Linked DNA regions of Oryza sativa Japonica Group. The protein of the gene in region 2 binds, or shares a complex with, the protein of the main gene of each other region. Links are inferred from orthologs where the notes say so. Each region holds a gene or a part of one and is shown on either strand. Other genes may lie near its edges. The genes, in order: COP9 signalosome complex subunit 8, COP9 signalosome complex subunit 3, COP9 signalosome complex subunit 7 and COP9 signalosome complex subunit 4.

The links.
Region 1: the proteins of COP9 signalosome complex subunit 3 (region 2) and COP9 signalosome complex subunit 8 are in contact, whole or in part, in a cryo-EM structure (PDB 9IS6), measured with the Arabidopsis thaliana proteins. The link is inferred for Oryza sativa Japonica Group from reciprocal best matches to the Arabidopsis thaliana genes COP13 and COP9. Residues at the interface, in NP_568296.1 of Arabidopsis thaliana: Asp121, Leu123, Arg124, Pro128, Ala157, Lys158, Gly193, Leu194, Lys195, Lys332, Glu335, Met336, Leu339, Gln340, Ile342, Gln343, Ala349, Leu350, Ile351, Asn352, Gln353, Lys354, Asp377, Ile380, Gln381, Ile384, Lys388; in NP_193147.1 of Arabidopsis thaliana: Met26, Leu27, Ala30, Ser31, Gly33, Ile34, Glu35, Tyr36, Asp56, Phe60, Arg64, His89, Tyr91, Leu125, Ser128, Ala129, Tyr130, Ser131, Thr132, Ile133, Thr134, Asp137, Phe141, Met166, Arg187, Glu190, Tyr191, His194.
Region 3: COP9 signalosome complex subunit 3 (region 2) and COP9 signalosome complex subunit 7 share a complex: the UniProt entries of both Arabidopsis thaliana proteins name them as parts of the CSN complex. The link is inferred for Oryza sativa Japonica Group from reciprocal best matches to the Arabidopsis thaliana genes COP13 and FUS5.
Region 4: COP9 signalosome complex subunit 3 (region 2) and COP9 signalosome complex subunit 4 share a complex: the UniProt entries of both Arabidopsis thaliana proteins name them as parts of the CSN complex. The link is inferred for Oryza sativa Japonica Group from reciprocal best matches to the Arabidopsis thaliana genes COP13 and COP8.

Annotation. Positions count from the first base shown.
Region 1 is NC_089038.1:21,626,755-21,631,589, forward strand, and holds the start of COP9 signalosome complex subunit 8, read right to left. Parts: upstream 3,032-4,835; 5' UTR 2,930-3,031; coding exon 2,846-2,929; intron 2,755-2,845; coding exon 2,678-2,754; intron 2,567-2,677; coding exon 2,385-2,566; intron 1,479-2,384; coding exon 1,371-1,478; intron 111-1,370; coding exon 1-110. UniProt on the Arabidopsis thaliana protein: Component of the COP9 signalosome complex (CSN), a complex involved in various cellular and developmental processes such as photomorphogenesis and auxin and jasmonate responses.
Region 2 is NC_089042.1:1,059,945-1,064,987, reverse strand, and holds the start of COP9 signalosome complex subunit 3, read right to left. Parts: upstream 3,141-5,043; 5' UTR 3,010-3,140; coding exon 2,822-3,009; intron 2,696-2,821; coding exon 2,574-2,695; intron 2,437-2,573; coding exon 2,190-2,436; intron 2,108-2,189; coding exon 2,050-2,107; intron 1,975-2,049; coding exon 1,885-1,974; intron 924-1,884; coding exon 861-923; intron 458-860; coding exon 368-457; intron 175-367; coding exon 16-174; intron 1-15. Other genes in the region: probable adenylate kinase 7, mitochondrial, read right to left, coding at 4,037-4,189, 4,742-4,993. UniProt on the Arabidopsis thaliana protein: Component of the COP9 signalosome complex (CSN), a complex involved in various cellular and developmental processes such as photomorphogenesis and auxin and jasmonate responses.
Region 3 is NC_089041.1:18,479,878-18,484,707, forward strand, and holds the start of COP9 signalosome complex subunit 7, read right to left. Parts: upstream 3,358-4,830; 5' UTR 3,281-3,357; coding exon 3,110-3,280; intron 2,978-3,109; coding exon 2,902-2,977; intron 2,305-2,901; coding exon 2,216-2,304; intron 1,483-2,215; coding exon 1,393-1,482; intron 1,185-1,392; coding exon 1,140-1,184; intron 1,051-1,139; coding exon 980-1,050; intron 352-979; coding exon 219-351; intron 1-218. UniProt on the Arabidopsis thaliana protein: Component of the COP9 signalosome complex (CSN), a complex involved in various cellular and developmental processes such as photomorphogenesis and auxin and jasmonate responses.
Region 4 is NC_089037.1:5,165,507-5,169,133, reverse strand, and holds the end of COP9 signalosome complex subunit 4, read left to right. Parts: intron 1-187; coding exon 188-296; intron 297-1,002; coding exon 1,003-1,047; intron 1,048-1,132; coding exon 1,133-1,201; intron 1,202-1,283; coding exon 1,284-1,375; intron 1,376-1,450; coding exon 1,451-1,493; intron 1,494-1,820; coding exon 1,821-1,880; intron 1,881-2,038; coding exon 2,039-2,098; intron 2,099-2,399; coding exon 2,400-2,474; 3' UTR 2,475-2,703; downstream 2,704-3,627. Other genes in the region: vicilin-like seed storage protein At4g36700, read right to left, coding at 3,212-3,627. UniProt on the Arabidopsis thaliana protein: Component of the COP9 signalosome complex (CSN), a complex involved in various cellular and developmental processes such as photomorphogenesis and auxin and jasmonate responses.

The DNA.
Region 1 (4,835 bases), on a different chromosome or scaffold from region 2:
TAATCGCTGAAGTTTGCTTGCATCGAGCTTCTGGTTAGTCTTAACCTTTGGTTTTACGACAGTAAGCATCCTGGCTGCCGCATCCAAGCTCCAACCGTTTTGCATGGCATCTGTAATGATTATTAAGACAACTATTGTCATCAGCTTCTGAAGCAGGCAAATATCATGCAGAAAGTCAAACACAATAGCATAATAAAATTTGCAGAACTAAAAATGCTTCAAATACAGAGGGATGCTTATTCCAAAAATATTCAATATGTTTTTCAATATGTTTCAAATATAGCAAGTTTTAGTTATAGCCATAGAAAGAGGGATACACGAGCCTTGATGCATTGACCACAAAAAAAAAATAATTTTCAATATGTTACATGAATGACCTACGAAAAATTTTGGTAATTAGAAGGAAGAAGAATGCATTCACTATATTGAAATGGTAAAATGAAGACAACTCTTTTTGAGTGGGTTGTGCCAAAATTTCTACTAATTTTATACTCCACAACAGTACTCAAGCCAACAGAGATAGCCAATTAGATGTGAAATTGTGGATATACCTCATTGTGAACATCAAAATCAATGGGCCAGCATTATCACAATGATCAAAACAAACTAAAATTCATGCACACAAAAGTATGTTTAATTTTGACACAACCGAGTCTCAAAGACAACAAAATATCTGACACTTTATTCAAACCTAGAATGTACAATGCTCAATCCAGGAGAAATGTGGACAACACTGATGGCACAAAATGGAATTCAAGTATTGTATGAAGGAGAGGTTTCTATTTTCTATTGTGAAAGGAAAGTAATGTAATATGCAGTGTTATAATCCAGTCAGTACAATAGAAGTGCTACCCAAAAGAAGTCCATAGGGGCACCATCATTGTTTTAGAGTTTTAGAGTTGGACACGGTTATTAAGAAAGTAGATAGAAGTGAATGGTGGAGGGTTGTAATTGGATGAGTAGTGGAGGTAGGTGGGAAAAGTGAATGGTGGAGGGTTGTGATTGGTTGGAAAGAGAATGTTGGTGGAGAAGTTGTTATATTTTGGGACAAATCCTGAGGGTTAAAAGTTGTTATATTTTGAGACATAGGGAGAAACATTTACCTTCCAAAATTCAAGGAACTTGCAAAAACACATATTGGACGAAAGATTATAATCTATGAAGAAATGCTATGGAAGTTGAAAAGGATGCAGTGTATCCTAAAATTGGGACTTTGGATGATTTCTACAGATAAAGATGACTAAAAACACCATATTAACCATGTCAGAACTTCTATGATCTATACTGTTGATTAACATGAAGATAGTCAGAACATTGTACTTAACATTAAAAAACATAGTACAGCAACAAGATAGTTTCAGAAAATGTACAGTTAGTAGCATCCTCCTCATTCATCCCCATGAAGTGAGCCACATCAGCAACGCTGATTGTGGAATATGCAGAAGTCAACAACTGGAAAATCCTCTTTCTGTAGCTTTCTGTGTAATCAGAAAACAATATTGGATATTCAAGTTAACCAATTATAAATACTAAAAAAAATATAAAACAGCAGGCTTTATACTTATTTCCTAATATAAAAATAATACTAGAAGATTAGTTGGTTAAACAAGCAAAAGGGAAACAATCATGATGTTATTAACTTATTATCCTGATTGACGTATTATTATGGTATATGTCATAGTAAGCACTTCATGGAAAGAACTTAACTTCTCTAGTTCCACTACTGTGTCACAATGACTGCTGGTAAAATGTTAACAATCACCTTATAAAAAAGTGCAAATGTTTAATTATAATGCTATTACATTAATACATTCAACAGTTTCACTCATAAATGATAACTACAAAGTGTTTATTTTGATTGAAGCATGAGTTAATGAACATCCTCTGTGCATCTAGAATTGTTGCATCATGTTGTCAATTAGAAGTAAAAATAGGAACAAAACTGAACTTCTTGGGAACCAAACTCTTATGAGCAGCCTGAAAATAATCAAATCACTAGTCCTTATTAAGGAGATAGTATAAACCCACTGAACAAGGCTATCTTAGGAAGCAAGTATTTCCAAGATAAACACTTTAACCATTACACTACGCAGCACAAAACTCTACTAACGGGCACTCTACTAATAGTAACTTTGCGTATTCATTAAGGAAGCTGATTCAGCCTGATTGTGCAGATAAATCGTTTCCACAATTACTCCATGAAGTATATGTATGCACATCTGAATCTCCCGACTTCCCAACCCACACCACAAAGTGGTGACCTCCAACACAATACTACCACAGTATGCAATTCATTCTAGTAAGCAATACAACTTTGCACAAAGACACAGAATAATTCAACTGTTGCACGTTTCCATCATGAACAGTAAAGCAACAACCAGTACCTAGGAAGGCGGCCACGAAGTCGGCGATTTCAGGGCTCCACTCGAACCCCTGCGCGGCCGCGTAGACGCCCGCGTAATCGCGGTTCCAGAGGCACTGCCCGATCCTCCAGACGGCGGCGAGCTCCGGCCGCGCGTCCTTCGCCTCCTGCGGCGTCGACTTCCACAGAAACCTCGCGCTGTTCCTGCTCACACACGCACCCACCCAGAAACACAAAAACAACATTAATCCCGGAAGCCCTAGCCCAGAAAAATTCCATGGGAGAGAGGTGGGGGAGCAGATCGCGGGGCGTTACAGGTCGTTGAGGTAGAGGTGGGCGAGGAGGTGCACGGCGTAGGGCCAGCCGTCGGTGGCGGCGCCCCGGGACGCGGCCTGCGCGAGGAACACCGAGTCAGGAGCGCTACGCTAACCCTCCTCGCGTCGCGGGAGGCGGGAGAGGGGTGGGGAGGGGAGGGATTGGTACCTGGAGGAAGAGGTCGTCGCAGAGCGGGGCGACGGAGGAGTAGGACTTGCCGGCGAGGGCGGCGTGGACGGCGGCGAGATCCATCGGAGGAGGAGGTGGCGGTGGTGGCCGGCCGCCGGCGGGCCGAGGCGAGGGGAGAAGAGGGGAAGGGTTTTTGGAGTTCGAGTAAAATTCGGAATTTGGGGCAGATTTGGAGAAATTTCAGGAAAGGAAATAAACGGGGGGAAGAAAAAACCCACGTGTAATCGTGTATCTCTCTGGCCCATCTGACATGTCCGGCCCAGGCTGGCCCGCGAGGGATAGGGTTGTTTCTTTCTCCAACATATACTGCAGTTTTTTTTTCTTTTTGAGATTACATGGCAGACTCTAAGAGACGGAAATCAGCCAAACATCTTTTATGTTACTAAAACCCTGCTAAAAGTTCACCTAGATTTGATTTCTTTATGAGATAACATGGCAGACTCTAAGAGATGGAGATCGGTGAAACATCTATTATCTTATTAGGATTTAAACCCTAGTGGATGGAGCCATGCACCCACGACTCCATCACCACCCACTAGTGCTTCCCCAACATGCTGCAAATTTGACTACTATTTGATTCAAATTTGGAAGTAGATTGAATACTACTACTGGTTGGTTTTGTCTATTTAGAGAGAGCGGTGTTTTATTGGTTATGGTAAATCATTACTACAAAGTATCTCCCGAATACACTCCAAGGTTACGTTACGGTGCATAACATCACTAGAATGTTCACAGAAACGAGCTAATAAATGAGTCGCGGCATTCAACATAGATAAACATGATTAAAACTAATAGAGGAGAAACCCACTGCTATGACCTTGATGTCTGCAATCACTATGCCATTTGAAGATTGGTCCATGGATAATGAGTTAACTCTCCGTATGACTGCATTCAGAATTACTAGCGTTTTGAAAACCTTCTTCGCAAGTGAGAGCAACAACGCGGCGTAGAGCCAATGCTTCAGCAAGCTATACTATGGTAACCTCTTTTGTGCGCTCATTGCAAGCCAATAAATCACAGGTGTAGTTTTTTATTACCATGCCCACTCCCATTCGACGTGTTTACTGAAAAGTTGCAGCATCAACATTGATAGCAACAACATCACGGTTTTATTTGAATGAGTTGATTCGAAACAAATTAAATACTATTTGATGGTAGTTTGAATGAGTTGAATAAAAACTGTTACGAAATGAGTAAATTGCACAGAACTATTCGTAACTACAAATTTATGTATATCACAAAATTACAATTTTAACATCAATATTATTATAAAACTACTAGTTTCAAGAGTTTATATTTGGGTTGAGCTACATGCTATGATTGTGTGATAAAATTAGTGTTCAAATTTGTAGATCTACAATATTATGCATTAGACCTGTAGTATTGTGGTAAATTTGATGCTATTGTGATACACCCTCTTAAGTCTGTAGTTTAATGTAAGTTTGGGTAAAATTGTAATACTGTCATAAATTTAGATCAAAATTTGTGCTTTTCTCATACACCCTATAAAAATTATAATTATTGTTTTGCGATAGTATGGTAAGGTGGTTCTTGGTACAAAGGGCCTTAGGAAGTATCCACTTGATGAACTACATTCATATAGGCTTAATCTCCTCCTGACTAAAGGCCTATTTGTAATGGATAAATTTTGGAAGCTGTTTATGAGAAATTAAATTAAATTGTTTGAAAATCCTGTAAATTACAGACATTCTGGGACTTTTGCAGTTGGAGGATTGGAGTGCCTCCATGCCAGATGGACAGATATTTATATATAAATCAATCATCGTAACATTAAACTGCAGGAACAGAAGCATGTTGTTTCACAATCACTAACAATTAGTGGAATCAGGCAATCAGCTAATCCGAATGTCAAACAGCTGCCCAGTTAGAATTACGCGAAACATGCACAGGAAAGTCGAGCAAAAACATATGCAACGTCACCATATCCAATTCAAAAGCGAGTTCGATA
Region 2 (5,043 bases):
GCAAAAAACACCTACCATCCTAAGCACATGCATCTCAGCCTCCTTCGGGGTTTTAAGTTGAACAGAGCTGGCAATATCCTCAAGCGAAAGAGTCAAGTAGGTCTGTGTCAACCTCTGGATGTTTCGCTTGTACATTGAGGAGAGCACTTGCTTCACAAGTCCAAGGTTGTTGTCCTGAAAAAGAAAAAAAAAACAGAGGAAAGGAAGGAGGTGGTTCAGATAAATCTACAAATGGGTTTGCCATGCAGAACTGTCAACAAAATAATGCGTAGCACGTCAAGTAGATAGCAACTTAAGTACAGTTCCTGATAAGGAAATAGATATAGTAAGGAGGGCAGCTCAAGCAACTGACAAAGGAAATACTCACCGATTGAAACTTCTCAGCATTCAGCTGGATATACTCCTCTAATTCAGAGTAGTTACCTTTGCTGTAGCATGTTGACAGGTCAACATAAACCTGAAATAAAAGAACAGCGCAGAGCACTAATGACTTCAGAAGCAACCTAAAAAGGGTGTATGCAGTTAAACACTAAAAAGGATGAACTTGCATCAAGAGCAAAATTTAGCCTTTATATCTAGGGTGGCATAGACGGTAACGTAGAACATAAAAATGTGAGCATTGCCTCTAGTGAGTAAAACAAATGTACTTGATACCGAGAACAAACTATGCAGCAAAACAAAAAAAGAAGGTAAAGCATTGACCATGCCAAAAATGAATCAAAAACCACTAAATCAAAAACCAAACGATGAGACAAAGCATGGGGCATGGCTAACACTTATAGCATTACATTAAACAGCATGCGACTATCAAGCATACATTCTTTCATGGGACAGATGAAACTAGGATTCCCTGAATATACCTGAGCATGATTTTTGAGGTTCCTTTGAGCAGTTGAAGATGTGTACTTTGGAAATGATGGAACCTGTCATTTAAATGGCATAAATCTCAGCTTGTAATCCTCCTTTTTATATAAACTATTGAACATAACAACCTATTAGCATTGCTATGGAGGGGCAACCAGTAAATTGGAGAGAATAAATCTTTTGATGAGCACATGTAGAAATGTCCAGCTTATAGCTCATAATACAATTATGAAGATTATATACCACATCAGTTCAACTGGCAGTTCTTATACCACAGGATGATCTATCAACATAACAAATTTTAGGAGATCTGAGCTCTCATTAAAGACCAGAAGCTAAAGCTGAGTGCACGTGTGCAAATTCGACATTTTCGGGAAAACTAAATATCCTGATACAAGAAGTGGGAAGAGAATGCATGATCAGAAATTTAGTAGTGATAAACTAACTAGAGTAGTATATCTCTGTCTATCAAGGTTAAACCACCTGCTTATGGATTTGGATCCCTATGAGTTGGGTACCATACTGCTTTTCTGCTGCCAATTTTTAACCCATTTACAAAACCGTAGTTGTTTTCATTTGAGAGCCCAAAATATTGGACCAATTAAAGATGGCAACACTAAGATTGTGATCACAATTCAGCGGATGCAAACCTAGGCATCCAGCCTATTATCCCATTAACACAGGAAAAAGGACAGTACCCAATTAGCTTGGAATTAGAGGTTGACTAAACTTATCTTTCATCACCTGTGTACATGTTCCTATCATTACATGCATTATACTTTGTTTCACAAGCTTACCATAAATATAGACTCACCTTTATCTAGCAATGGTATCTGAATTTCTCAACCATATATCACATATGTTTTACCACAAATCTTATCTTAGCCAGAGCTGGTGTATATCAATTAGAGAGCACCAGATCGCTGGTCAAAGCTAAGGAAAAACAAGCTTTCCCTAAAAGTCCCACAATTCCACACACTAAAGCAGCAGAGGACGCAAAGCAGGAAGTGGTGAACATACCTGCCCATTCTGAATGAGCGAAACTAGGATGTATTTCTTGTAAGCTTCAACAGCAATAGCATTCAATGATGACATTGGGACGGTAACAGCCTGTAAAAATGCATAACATTGTAAACACTGAACCATTAAACATCAAACACAAAATTAACATGTTTAAAGCCTCACATTGTGAAGAAAATCCAGTGCTATAGTGAACTTCTTCAGCCCAATGTATATCATTCCCCTGCAAGAGAAGGAAAACCGTTAAGTAAACAAACGGTACATATTAAAAAACCATAAAGGATAAAGCACATTCGTCCATATACCCATAGTAGCAATAGAGGAATAAGTCCTTTGGCTGATCAACTTCGAGTATGTCGTCTTCCAGGACGCTTAGGCCAGCCTTGTACTGCTTCGCAAGCAGGCACAGGAGAAGGTAATCCGCATGGATCGGGGTCAGCTCTTCAGACGAAGTCTGAATCTTGCGGATTGCCGCCCGCAGAGGGGCAATCCCTCTAATCGGCGCGTTGAGCTGCATGACCTCATTCTTGAACACCCTACACACACTCAGAACTGCACATACAAAATACAAATCGAAGAAAAAAAAAGGTGGAATGTTTAGTCCACGAATAATGTTCTAGTACTAGTAACGAATAATCGATGCATGACAGAATTAGATAGATTCGATTTGATCATTGAACAGCACGCACACTTATCAGGCGCCAAGCGTATCTGCTCCGCCGAGCAGGAGACGAGGAAATCGGCCGTGGTGACCAGGAAGTCCCCGCCGCCCTGCGCCCTCAGGTTGGAAGCCGAAGACGCGAACGCCTCCCTGCATCACGGACGAAACAACCCCCCGCAAGGTGGGGGAAAAGTAGATTAGCGCGACGGATTGGATTCGGCGAGCATACGGGATTAGGGTTTTCGCGGACGGCGGCATCAAGGGGACGGGACTCACAGGAGGTAGAGGAAGCCGAGGGAGTGGGCGCTCGGGTGGAGCTGGGCGAGGAAGGGGAGGAGGGCGGCGGAGTGGGCGCGCAGGGGCTCGCCGTCGGCCTGCCGGAGAAGGTTGTGGAGGTGGGCCAGCTCCTCCCCGCTCCCGGAGAGGCCCTGGATGTGCGCCACCAGCGTCTCCACCGTCTCCATCGCCGCCGCCGTCACCGCCGCCGCCGCCGCCGGGAAGTGTGGGGGTTTTGCTTGCCGTTCGCGTCGCCGCGGTTGGGGTTTGGTTTTCTTGTGCTGCGGCTTCCTCTTCGCGTCGACCTGTTTGGTTGGATGCGGAGAGATTTTGATGGCGAGATCGATTTAATTGTGCGGGGATCTGGACCGTCCGTTTGAGTGGGGGGGTGTAATCTGTGCCGTTTGTAGCAGATTCAGATGTGATCTGACAAAATCGAATCCAAATATGCTTCGAAAGGAAGTTTGATTTTTTTTTTGTTATTCAAAACAGAAGTTTGAATTTGCAGATGCTCGTGTGCATTTGAATCATAAATTCACTGAACTGGAGGTGGTTTCGCCTGACAATATATGGAGAAACTGTACATCAATTTCCTGTGTAGCTCTTGCATGTGAATGCAAGTTTTACAAAAACTGACGAAATTCCTACAGTCCAAACTGGAGGTCAAACAGTCCACAATCAGAAAACACCTTGAGTTGAGATAGAAACAGAGGTTCATCATGAACAGCTACCAAACTGGAATGCAGATAGTCACTCCACAATCTCTGTTTTACAACTATTCTCAGTGCCCAGGTGACCTAGCAAAAATGGATATTACACAGGAAACTGTATTCTTTTCCAAAACTTACAGACGCTTCCAAGATTTCATCGGCTTCACTGATGGAATACTCAAGAACTAAGATCAAAGCAGGAGATACGATATATCATCTATGTAAACAAGACAGTATAGAAGAACTGATAAGGAGGAAAACAAGCTGGTATACTTGCACTCGCAAGTCCAGTATTCTTCATTACAAACATATAAGTGCGTCCGCAAAATCGCTTACATTTATATCTATGAAAACAGAGAGACAAAAATGACAGCCGGCTGACTCCTCAGAAGTCAGAATCCACAAACATAGGATAGGAATACTACATATGTTGCAGGCTAGGATCACAATCTAGATCCTTAGACTCAAGTTCTTTGATCTTTCTCAGACAACACACAAACGATATTTACATAGTGAGTTTGTGCGGCGTCGGGGATGCATCCAGATGCTGGAGATGTAGGGCAGCGACAAGTCCCTGCCATGTTTCTCCAGGGCGAGCTGATGTCTTCAATTCCATAAGTTTTCTCTGTTTCCTGTAGTAGTCTTCCAGTAGCTTGGTCTGCATATTGAGAGTTTCACATTTAGAGTTTATCATGTTACTGTACTACAAGAACAAAGCTAGAGAACTCCATAAGAACTAGTATCATGCCTCACAATTCCTCTCAGAGTTTAAACTTCTTGTTTCTGAAAATGCAAGTTTTTAGGGGTGTGCATATAGATGGCAAATTGGCAATCTTGCCCATGGATCCAGGTACCCGCGGGCGCTGTGCCCGATGGGCATGGGTTCGATTTTTTGCCCAGGGGCACGCTCGACCCAAGACCTTAGTGGGTGCCGCCAGGTTTTCTATTTTGCCCATGGGTAACCCATGCCCGACCCAAGTTTTGTATATCTATGGCTGATTTTTGGCCCCATCTCTCCCTTGGCCCATTCGGTTATGGGTCGGGCATGTTCCTGCTCCGTCCGTGCCCAACCCAACCCAACCCATTGCCATCCCTAGGTATGCAATCAGGTGATACATAAAGCAGGCCTCATTGGGTGCATGGTGCAATGCAAAGCTCATCAGATCAATGCTAGTAATAGACCCAATAAGTTTGGGTGGCCTGAAAATACCTGTTCAGCATAAGCACGCATCTTCTCCATTCTCGAGTCCTCCAGACCTAAAACTGCAGCATGTTGCACCTGAGAAGGCCATGTACAGCTCCCAAGGCTCGGATTACGGTCTGAAGACGCAGTTTTGCTAAAATCAAAAAGCTGTCCACAGTGGGGGCAGATGTCACCACCAAACCGCCTCTTCATAAAACAGTTATCAGCACATTTGAAGTTCAGAACCAAGTCGATATCCACAATCTCATCGAGAATCTCCTGAAACATTCAAAAACAGACAGATCAATGAAATTAGTAACTGTGTTGGA
Region 3 (4,830 bases), on a different chromosome or scaffold from region 2:
ACTAAAATCAGAATGGAACACATGACAGTAAATGGACATGGGTCAACAGGTCATCAGAAGAATGAGGAACATAGAAAAACATCATAAGAATTATGCAAAAGCCTGATGTTCGCTAGAAAAAACAAAACAGATGCAAGTTTTTTTTCCTTTTTTACTGTTCATCATTCAATATCTGAAAAACTACAGTATAGTTGGTGCTTCAAATTGATCCAACTCACCTTGATTGATTTTTTGGCTTCTTCTACCTTGTCTTCGAACTCTTTCTGGTGCTTCTTGTTCACTTCACTCATTGTATCAGCCCACTTAATTTTCTCCTGAATCTGATGCAATAAATTATCCGATGTTCCCAGCCTGTGCAATTTACATCAGCATGAGTTGGTACCAATAAACTTCCATTGGTCCCGTTAACATGCACCTCATAATGTTTCAACATAAAATGGACCGAGTAAAAATGTCAAAGCACGAGCATATAAACTGATTACTTGTGAAATGTCAAAAGCACAATATCAGCACCAAATGATGCATATACACTATTGTCTAAATGAAAAACCTCAGAGGTTATTCATCTTTTAACAAATTCAAGGAAACACTTCTATATGATTTAAAACATAAAGCTATGAACTGACAATAAAAACAATGGATAGTGTATAATTAAAACTTAAAAAGGTTAAAAGGCAGACAGAGTGGGTTGGCAAGAGAAGACACAATTTCACATTATCCCTACAGCACCCAACTACAAAAAACAACCAAAACCATACCATCTACAATAGTAGCCTGAAGGGACAACACACATGGAGTCTAGAACAAATAAACATAGCAAAATAACCCAGCCGCAGTTCCCATAACACATGACCTCAATGTATCTTTCAGAAGGTCATATCAGATATGAGGGAGAACCATATATAAATGCAAACATTAAAACTTCTGTGAACAAAAAATAGGGATGGGATGCAACAATCACTCAAGTAAAGGTACACACCAGTCAGATAATGTATCTATCATATTGTTCAGCTGATCAGGTGTAAGATCCCTTCCAGTTGCAAATTGTACCTGTCAAGTACAGACAGAATTTAGGGGGATCATTTGCCAGCTAAACAATGAAACCATGAACAATGTACTTGTAAGAACAAGCATCTGACCTCAAAACACCTCCGCAGCTGATCCAATTTGCCCCTGACAATACCCTAGGGAAGCAATTAAACGTTAATATTTGACTAGAATACTAGCATCTATGGTGTAAAAGTTCAAGAAACAAACCGATGATCCTAAAGGCTAGAGAGCTTACAAGAGCAATAATCCACACAAGATATATTTGTAATGACATGGTTTTTGTTAGGGAGGTTAGAAGATGGAAAATAGAGATTTAAGTGCCTAAGGCAAAAAAATTCTCACCGAGTACATGCACTCATTGATGAGGAAATCTTCGAGTTCTCTTACATTGGAAACATCCAATTCTTGCATGAGTTGATCATATGGTAGCACCTGAATAGAAATGATAATAAAAACCAAGCACATTTAGTATTGTCTAAAGCAAAAACATAGAACAGAGTTTTAAGGTAAAAGATAATACTACATGAACTTGACTTCCAGTGCACACTCAAACAGGCTATGCACATAAAGAATAAGATAGTATTCACAGATAGTGTAAAGCTAAATTGGGCACACATAATAGGATGGAAGAAGCTTGTTTCTGGCATTGGTTGTTATCTGTTCAGAGAATCACTATCACTTAACACATATAACTGCATAGAACTATTTCCCATCATACGTAAAGAAAGAAGAATGAAAAACCTAGATAATAAACATGCAGACCAGCTATTATTTGATGAAACAACTGTGAGGATACATTTGGATCTTAAATTATCTTTGCTCAGCCTGGCATAAACCTGCTCATTTCATCTATGGCCCACATAAGCAAGGCAGCGAGGCACGATATTTGGTGCCATCAACAGTTCATGCTCACATGCTTGTCGATGAAGATGGGGCCATTTTTTCTCTCCTTTGACAGCAAGTTTTTTCTGACAATTGTTAAGCTAGATTGACAGAGAAAGTTAGATTTGTTTTCTTTTACTACCAAATGATAACTCCCCTTGCTATGCAAGGCTAAAATCCCCATTGCCAAGGATCTAAACGCTCCCTTAGTAACTTTATGTACACAGGATAAGCAAAAAAAAAAATGCATAGCATATTAGACAGTATCAGCCTAAATTTGCACCTTGGTTGACTCAGCCAAAGTTAGCACGCTGAGTTGCTTCAGCTTCCGGACTTGATCAGGTAACAATGCAGGGAGATTGCCAGAATTACCTACATGTATGAAAATTAAAAACAATTAATGAAACAGTAAATGTTCATGTTCTGCACTTATCTGATATTACTATAAACAGAGAATACCACAAACTGCAGACCGTTTTAATGACATGCCGATGAGAGAGGAAACAACAAAATTCTAGCAACCACAGCCTGACACACACTGATCATATTGGTGGGTGAAAAGGCAAATTGATTGTCACAGCTCAAATTATGATTTCAAGCACAGAAATGTGATAATTCTATCCACATATTGTTGCAGAATATAAACCATAAGACAAAGATGAATTATGATTAATTAGTATGTGAATCCCATCAAAAAATTAACCTATAACAATATAACACAAAAAAAAAGTGTGAATTAACATTAACACAAATCAGCACTATTGTTAACCATTAAACATATGGGCTATGGCCCTCACATGCCAATCGCGTCCATGGTAAGCGGCTATTTCATAGGGCGTACCCCTAACACACAACAACAAGACAATGCACTAGACTCACGCACCAAATAAGCATACACATATGACGCATGACAACACATACATAAGGGCAATGTAATGTACGAATCGCAACGGGAGGGGGTGATCTTACTCTTGTAGTCCTTCAATGTCCCATAGGCGAAGAGGCGGAGCACGTCCAGAGACGACGCATACTGCGTTCCAGTGAGCTGCATCAACGAACTGACATTAGATCGAAATCAGAGGGGGGAGGAGAGGTGGTCCACCCCCAAAACCCTAACCCTAAACACGCGCGGCGCGGCGGGGCGCAGGCGGAGCGAGAGGCGGGGGGTCCCTTATACCTTGGAGAGGGCGGGGAGGGAGAGGAGCTCGGAGAAGGCGAAGAGGGCCGGGTGGGAGGTGGCCTCGAGCACGAGCGCCGCCAGCTGCGGCGCCGACGAGGAGAGGGCGGCCGCCTGCGCGGAGAACTGCTCGATCAGCTCCGCCTGCCGCCGCTCCGCGTCCATCGCCATCGCCGCCGGCGATTTGCCCGGGGGGCTAGTACGCGCTAGGGTTTGGGGGATCGGGGTTTCGCTTTCTTTTCGGTTTCGTTCGCCTCGGTGATATTCTCTGTGTTTTGTGGGATTGTAGTGGGGAGAGTGGGTTTCGGGTTCGGTTGGGCTCCACGGTGGTGGGTGGTGCTGGTGTCCGGCTCGTTGCCGCATACTCGTGCTCGGGAGTCGGGGCCTGGAGGGCCACGGTCGCTTGGGCTGCGTGTCGACGTGGGGGATTGCTGCCATTAAGAATGCATCTTCCCCGTTTAGACACCAATTTTTTTTTAGCCTTCTTATTACTCCTCCTCCATCTGCTTTTGATAGTCATATTTTATCTTGACACACAGATCAAGGATAAATAATTCTACTTATCATCCATTTAAACATGCTACTAGTCATTTCTCGTAAACAAGCGATTCATTAATATTTACATTTCTCGATGCCCATGCAACCAATCTTGTGTGGAAGAATGGAGAGTCATGCATTAAATCTGAGAAAGTCATTAAGATGATAAGTTGTTGGATTGAAATATGCCTATCAAAAATAAATTTTTCAAATTTGAAAATATAACTATCAAAAGTAGATGGAGAGAGTATTATACTGCCAAAATAAACATTTTTCAAATTTTAGCAATACCAAAATTTTGTCAAGTTGACAATATTACTAAATTTTGATAGGATAGAGCGATAGACTAAATATGTTGTTGTCAAAATTCTCTAGGCATTAACAATGTTTGGTAACAAACTAAATACATTCACATGTTACATGTTTAGCTCATCCACATACATATTTTTGGATAGCCGATATAATTCGTTGCCTAATCTGTTCTACCTCATCAATGATCTGGGTATCGACTGCATCAGATCCAAGAATTACTTTCAGGGACTTGATTAGATCAGCTAGATGTTTGACAGAAGATTTGAGCTATGATCTCTGATCCTCAGTAGCTTTGGGCAGATCGGCAAGTTTATGTTCTTCAATAGCAATATGTGCATTGCACTGCTCCAATTCGGCTAGGAGTTCTATCTTCCGAGTATTCAGCCGATCTATGTTGGCTTGAGTGGACCTTGGACCAGCTTCCAACTCATCAAGTTTTGCCTTTTCTTCATTAATAGAAGTCCTACTAGCCTGGATGGTGGCCTCAAGATCTTTTCTTTCACGGCGATCAGCAACCCTTTGTTTAGCCTTTTCAAGCTTGAGCTGATGCTGTTCGAGGTATGCCGCTGGGGTGATAACATCGGCTAGTTCATCTGGGAGTTGGTCGTAGATTACAAGGAATCTATCTCTGATTGATCCACAACTGACCACCAGAGTTTCTAGGGAGCCTTCAAGCCACTTTGAGATATCCAGCAAGGTTGTTTTCACATTATCGGCTAGAGGCACCAAGGCTTTACTTGTAGTTTCTTCCTCTTCATCCATAAACTACCTGATGTCAAAAGAAAACATATCGGCTAGAACATGAAAAAGGGGAATATTGAGGTTACTGATTAGTAGAAGTAACATGATAGCCGATATGATTTGTGGATTCA
Region 4 (3,627 bases), on a different chromosome or scaffold from region 2:
GTTTGCTTGTTCTGTGGTGACTACTCTATTTCTGCACCCTTCTAGCAATACATTATATATTTTCCAATTCCCCTGCCCCCTTGCTATTAACATCTTGGATATTTCCACTTAAATTTTACAGTTGTTACATTAGCAGCTGATACTACTTATAAAAATTCCTGATGGAACACTCTGCATGTGATCTCAGAGAGATCGATGAAAATGCTTTGGAGCAAGCTCTTAGTGCTGCTGTGACATGCACAATATTGGCTGGTGCTGGTCCGCAACGATCTCGTGTTCTTGCTACATTGTACAAGGTATTTGCTTTGTTGGTTTATCATAACATTCTGGTTTGCAGTGCTTGTTATATCTACATGTCATTTATTGTCTGCAATAACTTTTTATGTATCATACTATCGTAATCATCTTTGCCCTTTCCCTGTGCCATGTTTATCAAATGGACAAATCTGAATTATCAGATGCTCTGCAGAGCTCTGTATCGATATTGATTGGTTTCTGTTATGGAGCACCATAGGTTGTGGCTTTAGCTTACTATGATATACATGCTGTGGCTTCTCTCCCTTACGCAGTGATTTGTATTCCCATTTACTGTACATCATTCTTGGTACACTCCAAAATTTATGTTTTCCGGGGAAAAAAGTATGTATATTGAAACAGAGGAATTGTCTCCGAACTCATTGGAATGTGGCATCATTATACAAAAACTTAACCCATTTGATATTGAATTACTAATATCAAGATCCTTCCAAATAGTTATTTAGGATTTTTTTTATAGTTCTGCTAAACTAATAAATATGCTAGCATCCAGTTTCAGTGGGTAGTTTATAGTTTCATACTGTTTGATGTTGACCAATCTGTAATCATGGTCATCAAATGAACCAACACCTTGTATCAACATTGTAGTAGCATGAAAATACAATTGTTTTGCATCTGATTTTTCTCATTATAGCGGTGCTTAAATTATGACTCGTGGCATGATTTTATACTGTCTTTTCCCTTTAGGATGAGAGATGCTCAAAGTTGAAGATATACCCAATACTGCAGAAGGTGCCTATCTTGATATACTCCCCTGGCATTTATATTTGGAGCATAAGCTCCCTTTATTGACAGGCCTTCTACTTCAAATGTGTAGGTCTTTCTTGAAAGGATTTTGAGGAAACCAGAAATTGAAGCATTTGCAGAGGAGCTGAGACCGCATCAAGTTAGTGAACATACTCTCTTCCAAGATAACTTGTAGTAGTAGCTTGTAATTTTATTGACTGGATTTTTCTTCTGTTCAACAGAAAGCTCTGTTACCAGATAAGTCTACTGTGCTTGACCGGGCAATGATTGAGCATAACCTCCTTAGTGCCAGTAAACTTTACACTAATATCAGGTTAGTTTTTGCATTGAAATTTTCCTGGGTCATTGTGATTTATCATTCTGATCAACTATTGATTTATTTCTGTAGCTTTGATGAGCTTGGAGCATTATTGGGCATTGACCCTAGGAAGGTTAGTATTTTGGTTAATTTTTCCTGTTGATATGATACATCATTTCATGTTTATAGAGACAGATTCACACAAAGTCCATATGACTAAGAAAAAGAAAAGAATTTGGAATATATGGGTTCTGAGTGGTACTTGCTGGAAACTAGTCAAACTGGGAAGAACCACCGAATTTCACAATTTAAAATCAAATAGGATAGTTCAAATCATCTGGCCTGTAACTGGTACCAGGAAGAACTGGCATTTTCTCTATAAATTCTTTATTTATGTTTGATTTTAAATATGAAAGTATTCAAATTGGAGTCTTACTGCAACTGATTTTGATGCTGGCAGGCTGAAAAGATAGCATCGCGAATGATTTATGAAGATAGGATGCGAGGTTCAATTGATCAGGTTTTATTCATATGACTTCCTTAATCCTTATGTTGATATTCATACTATTCCACCATTTCGAGCAGACATCTGAAATAGACTTACACTGTAACCATGTTTTACCGTTTGTGGTTTAATTCAAGTTGTTATGAGATTAACTCGCCTGGCTTATTTTACAGGTTGAAGCTGTGATACATTTTGAGGATGACACTGAAGAGCTGCAGCAGTGGGACCAACAGGTTAGTTTACCCGCACACTCGTGCTTGGCGTTTCTAGCATTAGCTTAGGCACCAGTTTTTTCTGCACAAGTATATCTCTTTCCCCATTTTCCCAACCCACTTCTTGTTTTACGTGCGCACACTTTTCAAACTGCTAAACGGTGTGATTTATACAAAAACTTTCTATATAAAAGTTGTTTTAAAAAACATATCAATCTTTTTTTTTAAAAAGTTAATACTTAATTAATTATGCAACAATACGAGCGTGCGCCGGGGAGAACACAGCCACATACATACCGCTAAACCTCGGATGTGGTTTCAGATTGCGGGACTGTGCCAAGCGCTGAACGACATTCTGGACAGCATGTCAAGCAAGGGAATGGCTATTCCTGTGTGAGCTCTTCAAGTTGCTTCGATGGTACTCGTGAGAACTGTGGTCACGGCGTCAGGCCTCACGGACATTTTGTACAGATGTTCGCAGCTGCGAGTACCAGTCATGTTTCGGAACGAATTTTGGCCACAATTAGTCGGTGATCGGTACATGTGAAGTTGTGAACTGCTGGATAGATTAAGGCAGTGGCGCCGTAATGGCATTATATCACAAACCAAAATTGATCGTGATAGCATTTTATGCCTTGTTTTCTTCTGGTATGATGATGGTTGTTGGGACAGGATACTCAGATCGAGCCCCGATCGGAGTGGGTTTAGTGTGAGTGATTGCTTAGGAGGAACGGTGAGACAGACGATTGCAAGAGCGGGTAGATTGCAGACTTGGAGCAGGGCTCTCATCCTTCTCGAGCCATTGGAGGCTAGGTACAGTGATCCTGTTTGAAGGTGCTTCGATTTCTGTCTCCAAGTCTCGGCCCAAAACAATGTAACATGAGAGGAAAGCTACGTTTATACACATTAACAGCTTACTTAACCGTTTACAGGCGGGTTCTTGGAAGGGAGGAGGCTACGATTATACACATCAACAGCTTATTTAACTCAGCTACATCACGACACAGTGGAAGAAACGAAAGTACGCACGTAGTATGCAGGCCGGCCTCTACACGAGCAAGACCAGCATTATTTACGCAGAAACTACTGTAGCTGGACGCGTTCACCTCCAAATGTCCCTCTCTGCTCACTTGCTTAGCCACTGGAGAGCCTGCCCTTGATTCCGATGAAGCGTTTTTTCAAGCTCCTGGGCAAACGAATCTGCCGCTCTCCCCAGTCTCCTTCCTCCTCTTCCCTCCTCGGTTTTGGCTCATCTCCTCTTCCATCCTCTTGCTCCTCCTCCTCTTCCTCTCTCCTCCGCTCTTCTTCTTCCTCTTCTCTCCTCTGCTCTTCTTCCTCCCTCCTCTTCTTCTCTTCCTTCTCCCTCTGCCTCCTTTCCTCCTCCTCCCGCTCTCTCCTTTCCTTCTCTTCTTCTTCCCTCCTCTTCCTCTCCTCTTCTTGTCTCCTCCTTTCTTCCTCCTCTTTCTCCCGCTGCCTCCTCTCTTCCTCCTCCCGCTCTTTCTCCCCCTTCCCTCCACCACCCTCTTCCTCCTCCTCCGCCTTCCTCTCCA